2 linked regions of the Drosophila melanogaster genome follow. The protein of the gene in region 1 purifies or fractionates together with the protein of each later gene. This does not show direct contact. Each region holds a gene or a part of one and is shown in the gene's direction. Other genes may lie near its edges.

The links.
Region 2: the proteins of didum (region 1) and Mlc-c purify together in Drosophila melanogaster (affinity purification with mass spectrometry; 3 studies listed by BioGRID, with this or other methods). This does not show direct contact.

What each region holds. Positions count from the first base shown.
Region 1 is NT_033778.4:7,496,381-7,504,302, forward strand, and holds the start of didum (dilute class unconventional myosin), read left to right. Parts: upstream 1-3,766; 5' UTR 3,767-4,098; coding exon 4,099-4,128; intron 4,129-4,530; coding exon 4,531-5,344; intron 5,345-5,409; coding exon 5,410-5,648; intron 5,649-5,721; coding exon 5,722-6,210; intron 6,211-6,263; coding exon 6,264-6,357; intron 6,358-6,421; coding exon 6,422-6,648; intron 6,649-6,791; coding exon 6,792-6,815; intron 6,816-7,268; coding exon 7,269-7,382; intron 7,383-7,448; coding exon 7,449-7,922. Other genes in the region: dpa (disc proliferation abnormal), read right to left, coding at 421-516, 577-1,029, 1,099-1,465, 1,527-1,898, 1,959-2,887, 2,947-3,257, 3,322-3,394.
Region 2 is NC_004354.4:5,617,027-5,624,948, reverse strand, and holds Mlc-c (myosin light chain cytoplasmic), read left to right. Parts: upstream 1-4,373; 5' UTR 4,374-4,421; coding exon 4,422-4,470; intron 4,471-4,662; coding exon 4,663-5,075; 3' UTR 5,076-5,813; downstream 5,814-7,922. Other genes in the region: POP1 ribonuclease P/MRP subunit, read right to left, coding at 1-474, 542-2,225; RhoGAP5A (Rho GTPase activating protein at 5A), read left to right, coding at 6,272-6,383, 6,469-7,091, 7,163-7,640, 7,723-7,828, 7,893-7,922.

The sequences.
Region 1 (7,922 bases):
ATATTCGAAATTTGTTTTTGTTTGGCTTTCCAAAGTAATGCTTAATTACACGAATTTTAAGATTCAGTTTTTCTGCCTTTTCAAATTTAAGTGATATGTGCTCTTCTTATGTATAAATCACTTTATCAATATTTTAGCAAGCTTGACAACATTTTCCACGTTGACATGTCCATATATTTTACATTATAAGCTGCTCGAAAAATAAAAAAATTATATTCAAATATCAATCAATTATTTTTCTACCGCAATATATAAACTTTCCAAATAATTTAATTATGTGCAATTTTTCTTTACATATTAGTTGATAAAACAGAAACGAATAATTTGAAATTTTTTTATTGAAAACATTTTTGTAGTTGCGCTTAAAAATAGGAATGAATGAATTTGCGGTTGGTTTTGAATGAGATAAATGTAATAAAATTAACAAATACGAATGGTGTTCTTTCCCATGACAACAATTGCGCCCTCATCTTGCACCTCCTTCAGGGCATCTTCAAATTGCTCGCGTGTGATCATCTGCAATAAATTATCGTTTACATTGATTTTATATTATAAATATATTATATTAGCACTTACAATTTGGGATCCTTCCTTAATATCGCTAAACAGTTTCTGATAGGGAACTGTGAGAACTTTGCCCTTCTTCTTGAGGTTTTCCTTGATGGCTGCCACCAGATCGGCGCGCTTTTTGCGAGCGGCTGTTGATAAGCCGGTGGTGAGAATGCCCACGTCAATTTTGCCGGACAGGGGATCCGTGGCCGACTGCTTGAGAGCCTCGCGATGAAGCCGCCAAGCCTCCTCCACGTCCAGCAATTCCACCTGGTTGCTGAGACGCACCTTGGCGTGCGCCTCCGACAGTCGGATGAGACTCTCCAGCTGGCGCGGGTAAGCAGAGATCTGGCCACGACCGGCGCCCACCTTTCGCATGTCCACGTAGGCCTGAATGAGTCGTTGTTGCGCTTCATCCGACAACGTAGGCGACAGATGTTCGCGGGCATAGGCGATGTAGTCGCGCAGGACGCTCATGTCCTGAAAATTGATTGAATATGTTACAGAGATATTCCGGAGAAATACCAACAATTGATCCAAGCTACTTACAAACATGGTATCCTCCTCCTCATGACGCGTCACATAGTACAAAGATACCAAATGGCTGGCCAGTCGCTTGTCAAAGATCTCATCCTGGGGATCCAGGACCAGAAAGATTAGGTCGAAGCGGGACAACAGGGTGTGCGGAAGCTGGACGTTATCAATGATGTTCTTGCGCTTATTCCACTGAGACTCGGCGGGATTGGCGGCAGCAAGAATCGAGGTCCTCGCGTTTAGCTGACAGATGATTCCCGCCTTGGCAATACTCAGTGTCTGCTGCTCCATCACCTCGTGCAGCACACTGCGTGTCGAGTCGTTCATCTTGTCAAACTCGTCAATGCAGCAAACTCCATTATCGGCCAAAACCAGTGCACCTCTGAAAACAAGCCATAAGATTACAACCTAAATTCGAATCTGATTCAAGCTTTTAGATTTACGTTTGCAGAACCAGCTGGCGAGTCTCCGGATCTTTGGTCACATAGGCAGTCAAACCGACGGCCGAAGAACCGCGACCGGAGGTGTACTGTGATCTTGGCACGAGGTTGAAGACGTACTGCAGCATCTGGGACTTGGAAGTACCCGGATCACCGCATAACAGCAGGTGAATTTCCGATCTGAAATTCTGGCGGCCGAGAGTTGCATGCTTCTTCTTGGTGCCACCAAAGAGCTGCAGCAAGATGCCTTTCTTGATGTCGTCGTTCTCGTAAATAGATGGGGCAATGGCCCTGGCCAAGCGGTCGTAGATGTCCGGTTTCTTGGCCAGCAATTGTAGCAGCTCAACGCGTTCTGGCGGGAAGATGTGATCCTTACTGGTAGGTAATTAAAATTATCAAATTTTATTCTAACCAGTAATAAAATGCAAGACTTACCCCTCCTCATCCTCGTACAGTCGCTTGTTGTCCACCTTCCGGAAGTGAACCACATCCACGTGCGTCTTATACACACTTTTTACCGACGAACTGAGGCCTCCAGTCTTCAGTGGCGTCGCCCGATAGATGCCTGTGACCGTGACGCGATCACCAGGCTGCACCTTGTCCACCAGATCGTTGTGAGCATACAAAAGCACATTATGCGGAGTCTGTCCCGCCGCCATGTCATCTGGAGACTCCTGAAGTTTGACAAGCTGCTTATCCGTAAACTCCGATCGATTGTGGATTAAACGGAAGCAGTGGTTCGTGTTGCAGTTGGTGCAGAGCGTGGGCTGGTTAATGCGACCGCGGTCCACCTCGACGGTTGTGCTGAAGGAACAGATGTTGCAACTGAAAAAGGCTTCGCGCATCTCGGGAATGACGTTCGACGAGCGAATGACCATGCCACTAATGCTGATCAACTGGTCCATATCCTCGGGATTTAGGGATCGCATGTTGCGTGTCTTGTCCGCGTTGAAGGGGCGCACTTGAATCTGGTGTTCCAGAAGAGCGGCAGGATAACGCTCAAAGAACATCTCGTTTATGGCCATATCAAAGCCAGGAATAACCTCCTGCGGATAGCAGATCAACTGGCGGTACAAGTCCTGATCAAAGGTCTTGAGATGGGCACAGTTGAGATTCAGATAGGGCTCCTCCAATGTGTGAATCTCCTCCAGCTTCTGAAGATACAGTGGCTGGTTAACATCAATATTCTCGGAGATTTCGTCCTGCTCGGCACTGGGGTCAATAAAGCGCATAATAAACGACTTGAACTTGGATTTGCACTGGCTGACAACAACATTGGTTCCCCAGACGACGAGCTGAGGTGCTTGCGAAGATTCCGATACAGGATCGGTGGTTTCAGAGCCCTTCTCAGGAATTGGTTCGAGCTGTAAAAGCGACTAAACTAATTTGAAAGTCCCAAAATGAGTTGCCAGCGTACACTTACCCCAGAGCCCCCACCGATGGCCACCTGGCGGATGCGCTTGTCCGTTCTTATATCGGGCCGCGCCCGCAGCGGAGTGCCTCTAATTCCGGAACGAGGGGTTCGAATGGACCCCATCGAGCTGGGGGTGCCGTAGTTCAGCGGCGAACTCAGATCGATCTCGCTCATGTTCGCACCCAATCCTCGAGCCGGACTGGTGGCTGGCAAGCTGATGTTTCCCGGCGAGGTGGGCGGCAAACTGATGTTGTCCGAGGGCCGGACAGCCCTCCCGGGACCCATGCGCATGGGTGTCTCCACATCTTGCGACGCAATGCCTGTAAGCAGACAGACGCTTGCTTTGCAAACAGAACACACTTTTTGTGGCACGTCGATACTCACCTCTAGTGGGTGTGCGGGCGCCTTGTTTGGGCGTCGCACCTCCAACACTGGGCGAACGAGCGGGGCTTGACATTTCCTTAGAGAAGATATTTATTTAACCCGTGCGTCCTGGGCGAAAACTGTAGCTGTTGTGAAACAAAAAACGATGCGGTGGGACAGACCAGCTAAAAATTGGCGGGAAAATAACTGTTGCAGTGTTGAAGAATACCAATGGGTGAGTTGAGCAGTGCTGAAAATCTAACTGCAGAGCATTGCGCGCCAAATAATTGGTGCTTTCTGGGGTGTTTTGCAAGAAAAAATTCAGTTACTGTGGCATTATACAAATCTTTTTGCAAGATATTTTACTTTGTTCAAATTTAATCCATGGTTAGAACCACACATTTCTAATTTGGCCCAAACTGCACGCCCTTTGGCAACCCTGCCCTTTTGCCAACAACAAAACATAAGTCAGTCAGTCAGGCGGTGACAGGGACGGAAGTTTGTTTGTTTTTCTCACACTTTGGCGTTGCGATCTAAAAATTATCAATGTTTTTATAAATTATTCCTGGCTAATTTTAAGTAATTTAGGACAGTACATTTACATAAACCCAAAAAAAGACCACGAAAATGGTAATTTAAATAGGCTGTCAGAGCCAGAAAAAAAACGTACCACCAAGGAAATTAAACCTAACGGGATTTATGCACCCAACTCACTCCCACGCGGAGTAGGAAGAAGGAGAGGAGAGAAAGAAGGAGCGCGAAGCGGAACCTGGAGTAGGAGGAGGAGCCAGTGGAACCATGTCTAGCGAGGAGATGCTATACGCGCAGGTATTGCACAGTATATATTGATGCCCTACAAGTGCATCGTGGCAGATTGCGGCGGTGTCGGTGTCGTCTGCAAATGGTGCCAATATAAAATCGCACCCATAACGTGATTTCCCCCGTCCGAAGTGTGTGTGTGTGTGTGTGTGTGTGTGCAGGCCATTCGACAGTTCTTGGCCCTGATTTGTTCCCATGGCAGGTGATTAGCCATTGATGACTGCATCGCAGCACCCGAAATGTTTAAAAATGATTCATCTACATACAATATTCGCGGGTGTCTTATCGACAGGGGAATGGGTTGTGTGATAAGCTCGATTGATAAGACACCAGGTCGGGTGACGTCTCTAGAGGGGATCGGGCATAACTCCCATTCATAAAACTTGTTAATTCGGCTCACTTCTTTCGCAGGGCGCCAAGATCTGGGTGCCCCATGCGGATCTGGTGTGGGAGAGCGCCACCTTGGAGGAGAGCTACCGCAAGGGCGCCGGCTTCTTGAAGATATGTACGGACTCCGGAAAACTGAAAGAGGTCAAGCTAAAGGCCGATGGCAGCGATCTGCCTCCACTGCGCAATCCGGCCATTCTGGTGGGACAGAACGACTTGACCACCCTGTCCTACCTGCATGAGCCGGGGGTGTTGCACAATCTGCGTGTCCGCTTCTGCGAGCGCCAGATTATCTACACCTACTGCGGCATCATTCTGGTGGCCATCAACCCGTACGCGGAGATGCCTCTTTACGGGCCCAGCATAATCCGAGCGTATCGGGGTCATGCTATGGGTGATCTGGAGCCGCACATCTTTGCCCTGGCGGAGGAGGCGTACACGAAACTGGAGCGCGAGAACTGCAACCTGAGCATCATCGTCAGTGGGGAGTCGGGTGCGGGCAAGACGGTGTCCGCCAAATACGCCATGAGGTACTTTGCCGCTGTTGGAGGTTCCGAGTCGGAGACCCAGGTCGAACGCAAGGTGCTGGCATCTTCGCCGATCATGGAAGCCTTCGGAAATGCCAAGACGACCCGGAATGACAACAGTTCCCGCTTTGGAAAGTTTACCAAGCTGCTGTTCCGGAACCAGATGGGTGTGATGTTCCTGCAGGGAGCCACTATGCACACCTACCTACTGGAGAAGTCACGTGTGGTGTACCAGGCCCAGGGAGAGCGCAACTATCACATATTCTATCAGCTGTGCGCGGCGCGATCGAAGTACCCTGAACTGGTGCTGGGTATGTCTGGAAGCTCCCTCCTATTTCAGCTTAGAAAATGAAGTAATATTTCCATTCTCTCAAAGATCACCAGGACAAATTCCAGTTTCTGAACATGGGTGGCGCTCCTGAAATTGAACGAGTTTCGGATGCGGAGCAGTTTAACGAAACCGTGCAGGCCATGACAGTTCTGGGCTTCTCCATTCAACAGATCGCTGATATCGTAAAGATCCTGGCAGGAATACTCCATTTAGGAAACATTCAGGTTTCCAAGAAGTTCAACGAGGGCAGCGAAGAGGAGGACAGTGACTCTTGCGATATATTTGTAAGCTCACTTTCGTAAAACCTGATGACAATTTCTGAGTTATATATGTACTTTAACTTCATCCATCTCGTAGCATAACGACATCCACCTGCAGATCACCGCCGATCTACTGCGGGTGAGCGCCGATGATCTGCGCCGGTGGCTTTTGATGCGTAAGATAGAGTCGGTCAATGAATATGTGCTGATACCGAATAGCATTGAGGCGGCTCAGGCGGCTCGAGACGCTCTGGCCAAGCACATCTATGCGAAACTGTTTCAGTATATAGTCGGTGTGCTGAACAAGAGCCTCAACAACGGTAGCAAGCAGTGCAGCTTCATTGGCGTCCTCGATATCTACGGCTTCGAAACGTTCGAGGTGAACTCCTTTGAACAATTTTGCATAAACTATGCGAACGAAAAGCTTCAGCAGCAGTTCAACCAGCATGTCTTCAAGCTGGAGCAGGAGGAGTATCTTAAGGAAGGAATCACCTGGACGATGATTGACTTTTACGACAATCAACCGTGTATCGATCTAATTGAATCTCGCTTGGGAGTGCTGGACCTGCTCGACGAGGAGTGTCGAGTAAGATTCATTTGACATAGTACATATCATTATTAAACCGGGTCTATCTGCAGATGCCAAAGGGCTCGGACGAGAGCTGGGCTGGCAAGCTCATCGGAAAGTGCAATAAATTTCCGCATTTCGAGAAGCCACGCTTTGGCACAACCAGTAAGTTATTTTCCGATTCTATGCACTATTATTTCGATGACAATCTGTTAATTCTATCTTTGAGGCTTCTTTATCAAACATTTCTCGGACACGGTCGAGTATGACGTGAACGGATTCTTGGAAAAGAATCGTGACACAGTCTCCAAGGAGTTGACGCAAGTGCTAAGCGAGTCCAACATGTCTCTGGCCAAGCAGGTGATGACCCTGGAGGAAATAGATACTCTGTGCGTGGATTCCGCTAAATCCTCCACCTTGGGCGGCCGCGTCGTGATCAGTGCTGGCCGCAAACAGGTTTGTGTTTGACCAGATTCTTCATGGACCCAACAATCGTATTGCTCCAATTTCGTCCAATTGTAATCGTTGTCTTATTGCTATTTGTATTTTCCATACGCTTGTCGTTCGCTCACCGCCAACTCCCTCGGATTGCCCAACAGCAAGGGAATGACACACGTCGAAGAGTTAGTTACCAACTTATTTAAATTAACAGCAATTGACTAACCCTAAACGAATAACCACAAACATTTTAACAATTTAATTCGACTTGGTACATTTGTTTTAATTAAAGTTACTAATTTAGTCCGGATTCAAATGACAAGGCTAAATGGCCCAGTAATGCTGATTAGAAAGAATCAAAGTTGCTTATAGACTAACAATTCACTACCTCCGCAAATAAATAATAATAATAAATGATGATAGGAATTTGTCAAATAGGTGATTCAATATATTATCAATAAAATATGACACGCGGACGAACGAACATATTAAATGAATTGGGTTAATGAGAATAAGTTTACTCAAAATGTAAAACTAGTTTGAAACTCTAAATCGATCTTATGTATTCATTTTCATTTTGACTGTGTTTGCCTATTTCCACACACGACCTACTAATTTCGCCTAATACTTGTTATAAGGTGGTGCCATCCAAGCAGCATAGAAAAACGGTGGGATCGCAGTTCCAGGAGAGTCTGGCGTCGCTGATATCTACGTTACATGCCACAACTCCGCACTATGTGCGCTGCATCAAGGTAAGATGTGCTATTGGATCTTAAGTACAGATAAAAGCTCATTAAAATATGTTTATTTTCGTGCAGCCCAACGATGACAAAGTCGCCTTTAAGTGGGAGACGGCCAAGATCATACAGCAGTTAAGGGCCTGTGGTGTGCTGGAAACGGTGCGCATCTCCGCAGCGGGATTCCCCTCGAGATGGCTCTATCCCGACTTCTATATGCGGTACCAGCTGCTGGTTTACCGCTCCAAACTCGACAAAAACGACATGAAGCTGTCGTGCCGGAACATTGTGATGAAGTGGATCCAAGACGAAGATAAGTACCGATTTGGCAACACGCAGATTTTCTTCCGCGCCGGCCAAGTGGCCTTCCTTGAACAGGTTCGGGCTAATCTGCGCAAGAAGTATATCACCATTGTGCAGTCGGTTGTGCGGCGATTCGTCTACCGGCGCCAGTTCCTGCGCATTCAGAAAGTAATTAATGGCATTCAGAAACATGCGCGCGGATATCTTGCTCGCGAGCGTACTCAGAAAATGCGCGAAGCTCGTGCGGGATTA
Region 2 (7,922 bases), on another chromosome or scaffold:
TCAGCTTTAGCTTGTGACTCTGGCGTAGCTCCTTGCGCAACTGTTCATTCAGGTCCGGTTGCGTTGGCTCCACGTGAACGGGGGCCTGGTCGTTGTGCTTTAGCTGTCGCCAGCGCTTCTTGTGATCCGCCGCCGTGGGCAAGCAAATCAGGGCGTTGTCCTTCACATGGCCACGGGATAGCAATTGAAGTTGAATCTGTATGATGGCGTCGTCGGGCAGAGTCTGTGGCAGTGGGCTACGATGTCGAATACTCTCGACAATCTCCTCCAGCTGCTGGCGATGCCGCAGCACATAGAACGATGATCCCTCGCTCGCAGAACTGAATGATGCACGCCAGTCGCGCACTAGATGCCTCCAGGGTGCAGTAAACGGACTGACCACGGCCAACTTTCGGTAATTGGTACGCTTATTGGGCGGCATACGGAAATACCGGGCACGGAGCTCATCCGCCGAAGCAGCAGCTCTTTGAACTCCTAAACAGATGCAAAGTGAGATGATTAAGGGAATATAGAATACGCCAGAGTATAAAACACTTTTTACCCGCTAATGTATCTGGCAGATGTATTTCGGCACCTGCCTCCCTAGCCACCGAATCCAGTTCCCTCAATCCGCCGGGTCTGGCGCCCCACATGGTGAGTGTTAGCCAGAGGGTCATGCCGTATCCTGCCGGTGCAATCACATCCCAGCCGCAGCCGTAGCCCAATCTCTTGTATCTGGGGTCCTGAGATCCTGGTCTTTGAATAAGTATCACGGGAAGCGCCTGCATTTGCTGTTCGAAGGCACATGGAGCTCCTGGCACAACGGCATGTTGTTCTCGCAGCTGGTCGTACTTGTGCGCGGACATAATGCCTTTGGCCAGCCGCTCTCTCGCCTTCTTGCTCCACAGAGGACTCTCCGGCAGACTCTTTGGCTGATTCATGAGAAGATCGCCGGCGGATAATGGTGGCTGTTCCATTTTGCCGACTGCTTTCGTACGCTTCTTGGGCCGCTGCAGGCGCGGATCCACTACAAGGTGGGCCATCACCAGATTGGACAGCAGTTCGGCGGGCGAGCTCAGCTGCAAGGCTGCCTGACAGTAGTTGGCTTTATCCTGGAGCTCCTCTTCTCGATGCGGACGTAAGCTGGCAAAAAGAACTTTTTGGGCTCTAGGCCCTGTCAAACGGAAACGATTAAACTCCCGCTGCAGCAGTACCAAGTGGAGAGTGCCGTCGGAATTGAAGTAGCTAGGCTGTGGATCGAATGCTTTCGTTTTTGTCCAGAAGCGCAGGGGCCTCTGTTCAGGCTTCTTCTTCGAGTTTTTCTTGCCAGGCGATGTTTCCTTGGACAACTCGACTGGCTCAATCTTATCCACATCCATCTTTTCCTCAGTCACAGCCTCGTTTAAAGGCAGCTTTTGTTGCCTTGTGGATTTCAGCTGGAACACGCTTATAAGCTGATTTAGAACAGCTTGAGCGCCACTGGGATGTAGCCACAGCCAGAGCGTGTGATTCGTCTGTTTCTCATCCTCCTCCTCCCGCCGTGGCCGCCACATAAAACTGGCCCGCTGCAGGGCTCCATACGGATAGCGGCCATCCTCAAATAACTCCACGCTGCCCTCACGTCGTCCGCTCAGAAAAGTCCGGGCCGTGATCCCAAGGCCACACTGCGGACTTGTTAGCCGGGCGAATCCCTCGCGTAGCATGTCCAAGGGTCCCCGCAACTCCACGCAACCATAGAACGAGATGTCCTGCAGCAGGCAGTGCTCGGCGCTGGCGCGATAGCAAGCGCGGTAGGTCTTGTCGCAGCTGGCGTAGGGCAACCGGTGGCCCCAGCGGTCAACCATGTGGAATCGCTTCGCGTGCCAGATGTGCGTCTCCAGCCAGACGTGCCGCCTCTGCCGGCGCACGTACTCACGCATCAGATTCTTGGGTCTCCGGCGGTACTTCCTCGATGGTCGTTTCCCATTCACCGGCTGGTTGCCGCTTTTGCCCATTTGGGACTTGTGCGCCTGTCGGTACTTGCGCGGCAGTCGCTTGGGATGGTGCGACATGGCGCGGCGGCGCATGTGCTTGGGCAGCGTCTGGAAGATTAGCTTGCTGCTCCGCTGCGTCGTCTCCTGGCAGTCGGCCACCAAATTGCGAATCTCCTGCAGCGCCTCGGCCGCATAATGGTACGTGGTCACGTGCGACGGCAGTGTGACCCGGCCGCCCAACGCAGCGTCGTACTCCACCTTCTGTGTGCTCATCGGGGACTAACTAATTTGGCCAGGATCCAATGCATCCAAAATCAAAACAAATCGGCGGCACGTGTGGCGGTTTCTTGTGAAACGATCTGGCAGCACTGCTCGATTTCACTAAACTCCCTGCACTCATCGATGTTGTCGCACCTATCGAATTTCGAGTGGCCTATCGATTGCGCCCACTATCGGCGACCACTAACACCAACAACGTTTCAGAATTTGCTTGCGTTTTGTTTCGACGTCGAATTCAATATTCAATATTTCGTGTATTTTGTGTTGTTTTCCCTCAGATAGCTAAAAACAAATCGATATGGTGAGTGCAGGCTGTTTATTGCGGCGCTGTTTACTGTTTACGATCGCACTGGAAGTGCGCTTTCCGGCGCCTTTGGAAGCCAGCACTCAAGTTTCCTTCATTGTTTTCCTTTCTTTCCCCTCTCTCTCTCCCCGCAGGCAGCTTATACCGAGGATCAGTTGGCTGGTGAGTTGAATCGCACGAGGACCAGACGGGGTCAAGTACCAGGAGTCAAAAGTCGGGCAAATCGCATATATATATATATACAGATATATATATGTGTATAGTATTGATATGTGCGCTGGCACCTAGCGCCCTCTCCCTCCCACTCCCACACAGCATTGGAATGCGGGAAAGCGATGGCACGTACATTTGTGTGGTGTGCATGAATCATTGATAAAGCAAATACGCTGGAAGGCAGACGGCAGCCATACGAATACGATCGTGACTCACCTAAAAAGCGGCGAGAAAGTCCCAAAACCGAAACACTGCAATACCCTGTCCAAAATGCTTTAATTAAGAGCAGCTGTAGGCAAAGTTTGACGTGATGACTTCGAAAGACATCCGAGATCAAGCTGACAACACATATCGAAACTGTGCTACTTTTGGGCTTTGATCAGCAGATTATGTTCGTCCAAGGAATAGCTTCATAGAATAGCGACACACGGCTGTGTACCAAGTTTCGCATTAATATCTCTTGATAAATCCGAGTTCTTTCGGTTATCCGAAACCCACACCAAGTTAATTGATAATATGCATAGCAGGCAACAAACTTATTCGACCATCAGCTAGTTAGTTTCTGCCAACAAGCTAGTGCTAGTCTTAAGCTAGTGTAAACCAAGTTTGTAGGTCATCATAAGAGCAGTTATTGTAAGACAGAAACTGGTCGCTTATAATCATAACCAACACCTCGGTATGAGTACAAAAAAAAAAAAAAAACACTGTTTAAGCGAAAGGAAGTGAGCGATAAAATATAGATAACAGAGCGGTCTAATGGGATAATCACCCGGTTTTCTGACTCGCCGGCTGCTCGTTTCAAATAAAACTGCAATTGCAGTTGCAAAAACCGAATAGCCATGCGATAAGAAGCCAGTCAGTTGACAAAAAAAAAAAAAACCAGCTTCCATTTACGGAACATCACCTTCTCTCTAAGTAAAAATGCAACACGATTTCGATTCCATGGCGAATCAAATCGAATCGAATCTTTACGCAATCCCCTCGTTTAACCTAATCAAAGTCAATGGTCTCTGATAATTCCGTCATGCTGGATTCGTGACACTCTGACGTCAGCGTTCAACCGCATATGCCTATGTACGAGCCATATACCATATATTTATTTTCCAATTCCAACTTACCTTGTTGCAATCTTTAGCCAGCCGTCGACGTTTTGTCATTGCCTAAAATGGACAAAAATGTGCTGGATTCGTTTGTTTTTATTGCCATTTTTGGATCTCGTATTCGCATGATAACCGAACACATCCCAGCAATTCATCGAATGGTGAACACTCTAGTGCTCAGATCTTTAGAGGATCTGAAAACAAAATATTGAGCCCAACCACAATGTTCTATTTACGCACGTAGATCGCAGAACTTTTGCAGCTTGGTTAACTTACACCATCACTTGCTTAAATCCAACTGCACGCGAAATGGACTTGCGATGTCACGCCTCGAAACGAAAAACTTTGAAACTTAGGATTTCTGGGTTGTTTATCTTACTTGCAAGCAGGCAGTTCCCGGTAGAGAAACGAAGTTTGCCAGCGACGTGAGGGTATACCATGGCCAAGGAAGGCGGAGTGGTGGCTTGCATCGGAGCCGATCCGATCCGCTTCGATCCGATGGCCAGCCAAATCCGGGCAGGCGGAGTTTCAGGCAGTCAGTAGCTGGCAAAACGGTCATCGGAGTGGTTCAATATGTATTACTATACGGCGCATGTGAAGCAAACCTTTACCACACTGGAAGGTGATCCATTTAGCCATTTAGTGGGTGGTAGAAAGCTATAGTTCCCCCTCACATTTCCATACGTTTATATGTAGTAGTTATGTAGGTATTATATATTATATCCCTTATCGAAGGGTTCTTGTAAGTTGTAACGATAATAATTAAGATTTGTAAAGCATCTGCCAACAATCAGCACGCACTTTCCATTCGCAGAATTCCAGGAGGCCTTCAACCTGTTCGACAACCGCGGAGATGGCAAAATTCAGCTGAGCCAGGTGGGCGAGTGTCTGAGGGCCCTGGGCCAGAACCCCACCGAGTCGGATGTCAAGAAGTGCACCCACCAGCTGAAGCCCGACGAGCGCATCTCGTTCGAGGTGTTCCTGCCCATCTATCAGGCGATCTCCAAGGCCCGCTCGGGCGATACGGCTGATGATTTCATCGAAGGACTGCGTCACTTCGACAAGGACGCCAGCGGTTATATCTCCTCCGCCGAGCTGCGCCACCTGCTGACCACGCTGGGCGAGAAGCTCACCGACGAGGAGGTCGAGCAGCTGCTGGCCAACATGGAGGACCAGCAGGGCAACATCAACTACGAGGAGTTCGTGCGCATGGTCATGAGCGGTTAGGATCAGACCGATTCTAGCTGTTCAACTGTCCAGCGACACGACAATAGAAGCAACGCTATATCCAACACAATACAACACACCAACACTAAACACACCTGCCAAGCTACACATAGATGAGCCGTTCATTCCGCCAGAAGTTCCAACTCCGTGATTCCAACTTAGCCATTCTTACCCCGGCATTAAAGCATTCAAAACCAAGGACAACGACCAAGGATATCGAGATATAACAAATACAGGGGAAAGTGCTTAACACAAGCAGCTAATAACTGAAAACTAAAAACTAAAACTACGAGATTGGAGCTATTCCCACTTCCAAAATTAACCAACGATGTAGACATAGATTCATGATTAACCATAACTAATTACCGCGTCTGTGAATGTGCGTATTATTCTAAAATTGACACTAGAAGGTTAATCAGTAATTATCAACTAGTGCAGTCGTTCTTTTGTACCAATCACACTCGATACATTTATATATATATATATATGAATTACCATAGTATACTTCAATGGAAGGAAGGAAAGCCAGAGTATCACGAAAAAGTATTTCTAAATTAAAGCTGATATGCGTCGGTGGCGTGTGTCCGTATTTAAATGCGCATTTTGAAGTTTTACATGTTTATTTTTTTTTAAATAATTTAATATTTGTATTTAATAAATAATGAAATGAGATCCAATGAATGTGTAGGTCTTTTTACAAAAGAAACGTACTTAAACTATTAAACCAATTGAAACCTTAGCTCTTGTTTTTATTTCTTGTTGAAAGCGGATGGCAATCAAATAAATGGCTGCTTAAAATTACGACTGATGCAAATTTTTGAAATATTTAGGAAACTTAACTGAAATTAAGCAAATTGTTTGTGGTATTTTTTGCGAGCTCTTGTGCTCTGAGCTTTCGGACATTTTTAAACTGATTATTAAGTGAGAACCACTGCATACTACAGTATTTACAAAACAATATAATGTAGTTTAGCTATCAATAAATTCAATAAGCTTACTATAAAGTTTATCTAAAGTTATAGTCATTTAAATTTAGTATTCTTCCGACTTTAATACCGCGCTAATTTTCGCCAGTCTGGCAGCTCTGCTCGCTCGGACAAAATTATTTGTATACTTTACTTAATTGGCTGCATTCCTTAATTATTCGCCGCCTACTTAGTGGCTTTTGACCAAGTGGCCTGCTAATCCGAGGGAGGATGCCCCGGAACACGGAGGCGGGCGCCGGAAATGCGAATACCGGTGGATCCGGCGGAGTAGGCGGTGCCCCCGAGCCCAGTTCTCCGGTTCAGAAGGTTTGGAAGCCGGAATGTGAGTGGAGAAGCACCTCGTATGCCACCCACAAGCTTATGATATGACTAACCATCCCCTTACCCATTTACCCGCCCACGCACAGTGTACAAACTGCAGCTGGAGGCACCGGCTCCATGTCCACTGCGCTGCCAGCGAACACTGCCCCTTCCGCCGGCGAAAAGCACGGCTGAGGCCGTGGAGGCCAATAACTTGGCGGGCAGGCTATACGGCTCCGAGTACCATGGCCTGATGGGCCACCTGGAGGCGGAGCAGCTGCTGGCCAATGCCCGCGACGGCAGCTACTTTGTACGCCGGAGCCCCCAATCCGATGGCTACTACACGCTTAGCCTGCGCTTCAACAAGCGACCCAAGCACTACAAGCTCCTCTATAAGCCCGGCGTGGGACACTATCTGCGCGGCCAGGACAAGCGCTTCGACACGGTGCACGACATGGTCGCCGACGGGCTGATCAACTTTCACATGCAGCTCCACGCCAGTCCCATCATCCAGCAGATTAACCAGCAGACCAAGAACTGCTACCAGCAAAGCCCATACATGACCTTAAATGGCCGGAAACTTAGGGCTCTGTCCAATGAGCTGGGCAAGGCCGCCGCCAAGGAATCGAAGGAATCGCCAGCCGAGGAGAAGGAGCAGAAGCAGGAGGAGCCACCGCCTCCAGCCGTGGATCCCATGCCGCTGGTCTACGAGAAGCCGCATCACTTCAAGGTGTGTGTTCAGACATAAGAAGCCAACTATAAAGGATCATAGCATCTAATGGAAGATTCTGATCCAAACAGGTGCACACGTTTAAGGGGCTCAATTGGTGCGAGTTCTGCGCCAACTTCTTGTGGGGATTCACCGCCCAGGGCGTCAAGTGTGAGGCGTGCGGCTTTGTGGCGCACAGCAAGTGCTCCGAACTGGTGCCGCCCAAGTGTGTGCCGGATCTGAAGCGCATACGCGGCGTATTTGGCACGGATCTGACCACGATGGTGCAGCTGGAGCCCCACCACCAGATACCCTTCGTGGTGCGCCGCTGCGTGGAGGAGGTGGAGGCCCGGGGCATGCTGCAGGAGGGTATCTATCGGGTCTCCGGCTTTGCCGATGAGATCGAGGCACTCAAACTCGCCCTGGATCGCGAGGGCGAGAAGACGGACATGTCGGAGACGGCGTATGGCAATGTGAATGTGATCGCCGGCACACTGAAGCTCTACCTGCGCCTACTGCCCGTGCCGCTCATCACATTCCAGGCGTATCCCAGCTTTATGGCAGCAGGACGTGAGTTTTATGGTGCTATGCTGCACCTCATCCCATGCCATTCACATCTATCTATCTCTCTATCTATTTTGATCTGTTGCAGGCACCGGCAAGCAGGCCGAGCAGCGCCAGCTCATGGCGGAGGCAGTGCGTCGCCTGCCGCCCGCCCACCACAGCTGTCTGCAGTACATGCTGGAGCACCTGAAGCGGTGAGTGTGACTGCCAGCATGGTCAATGCGATCTTAAGTAAAAAAAAAAACCTTCTGCCCGCAGGGTGGCCTCCCACTACGCCGTTAACAAGAT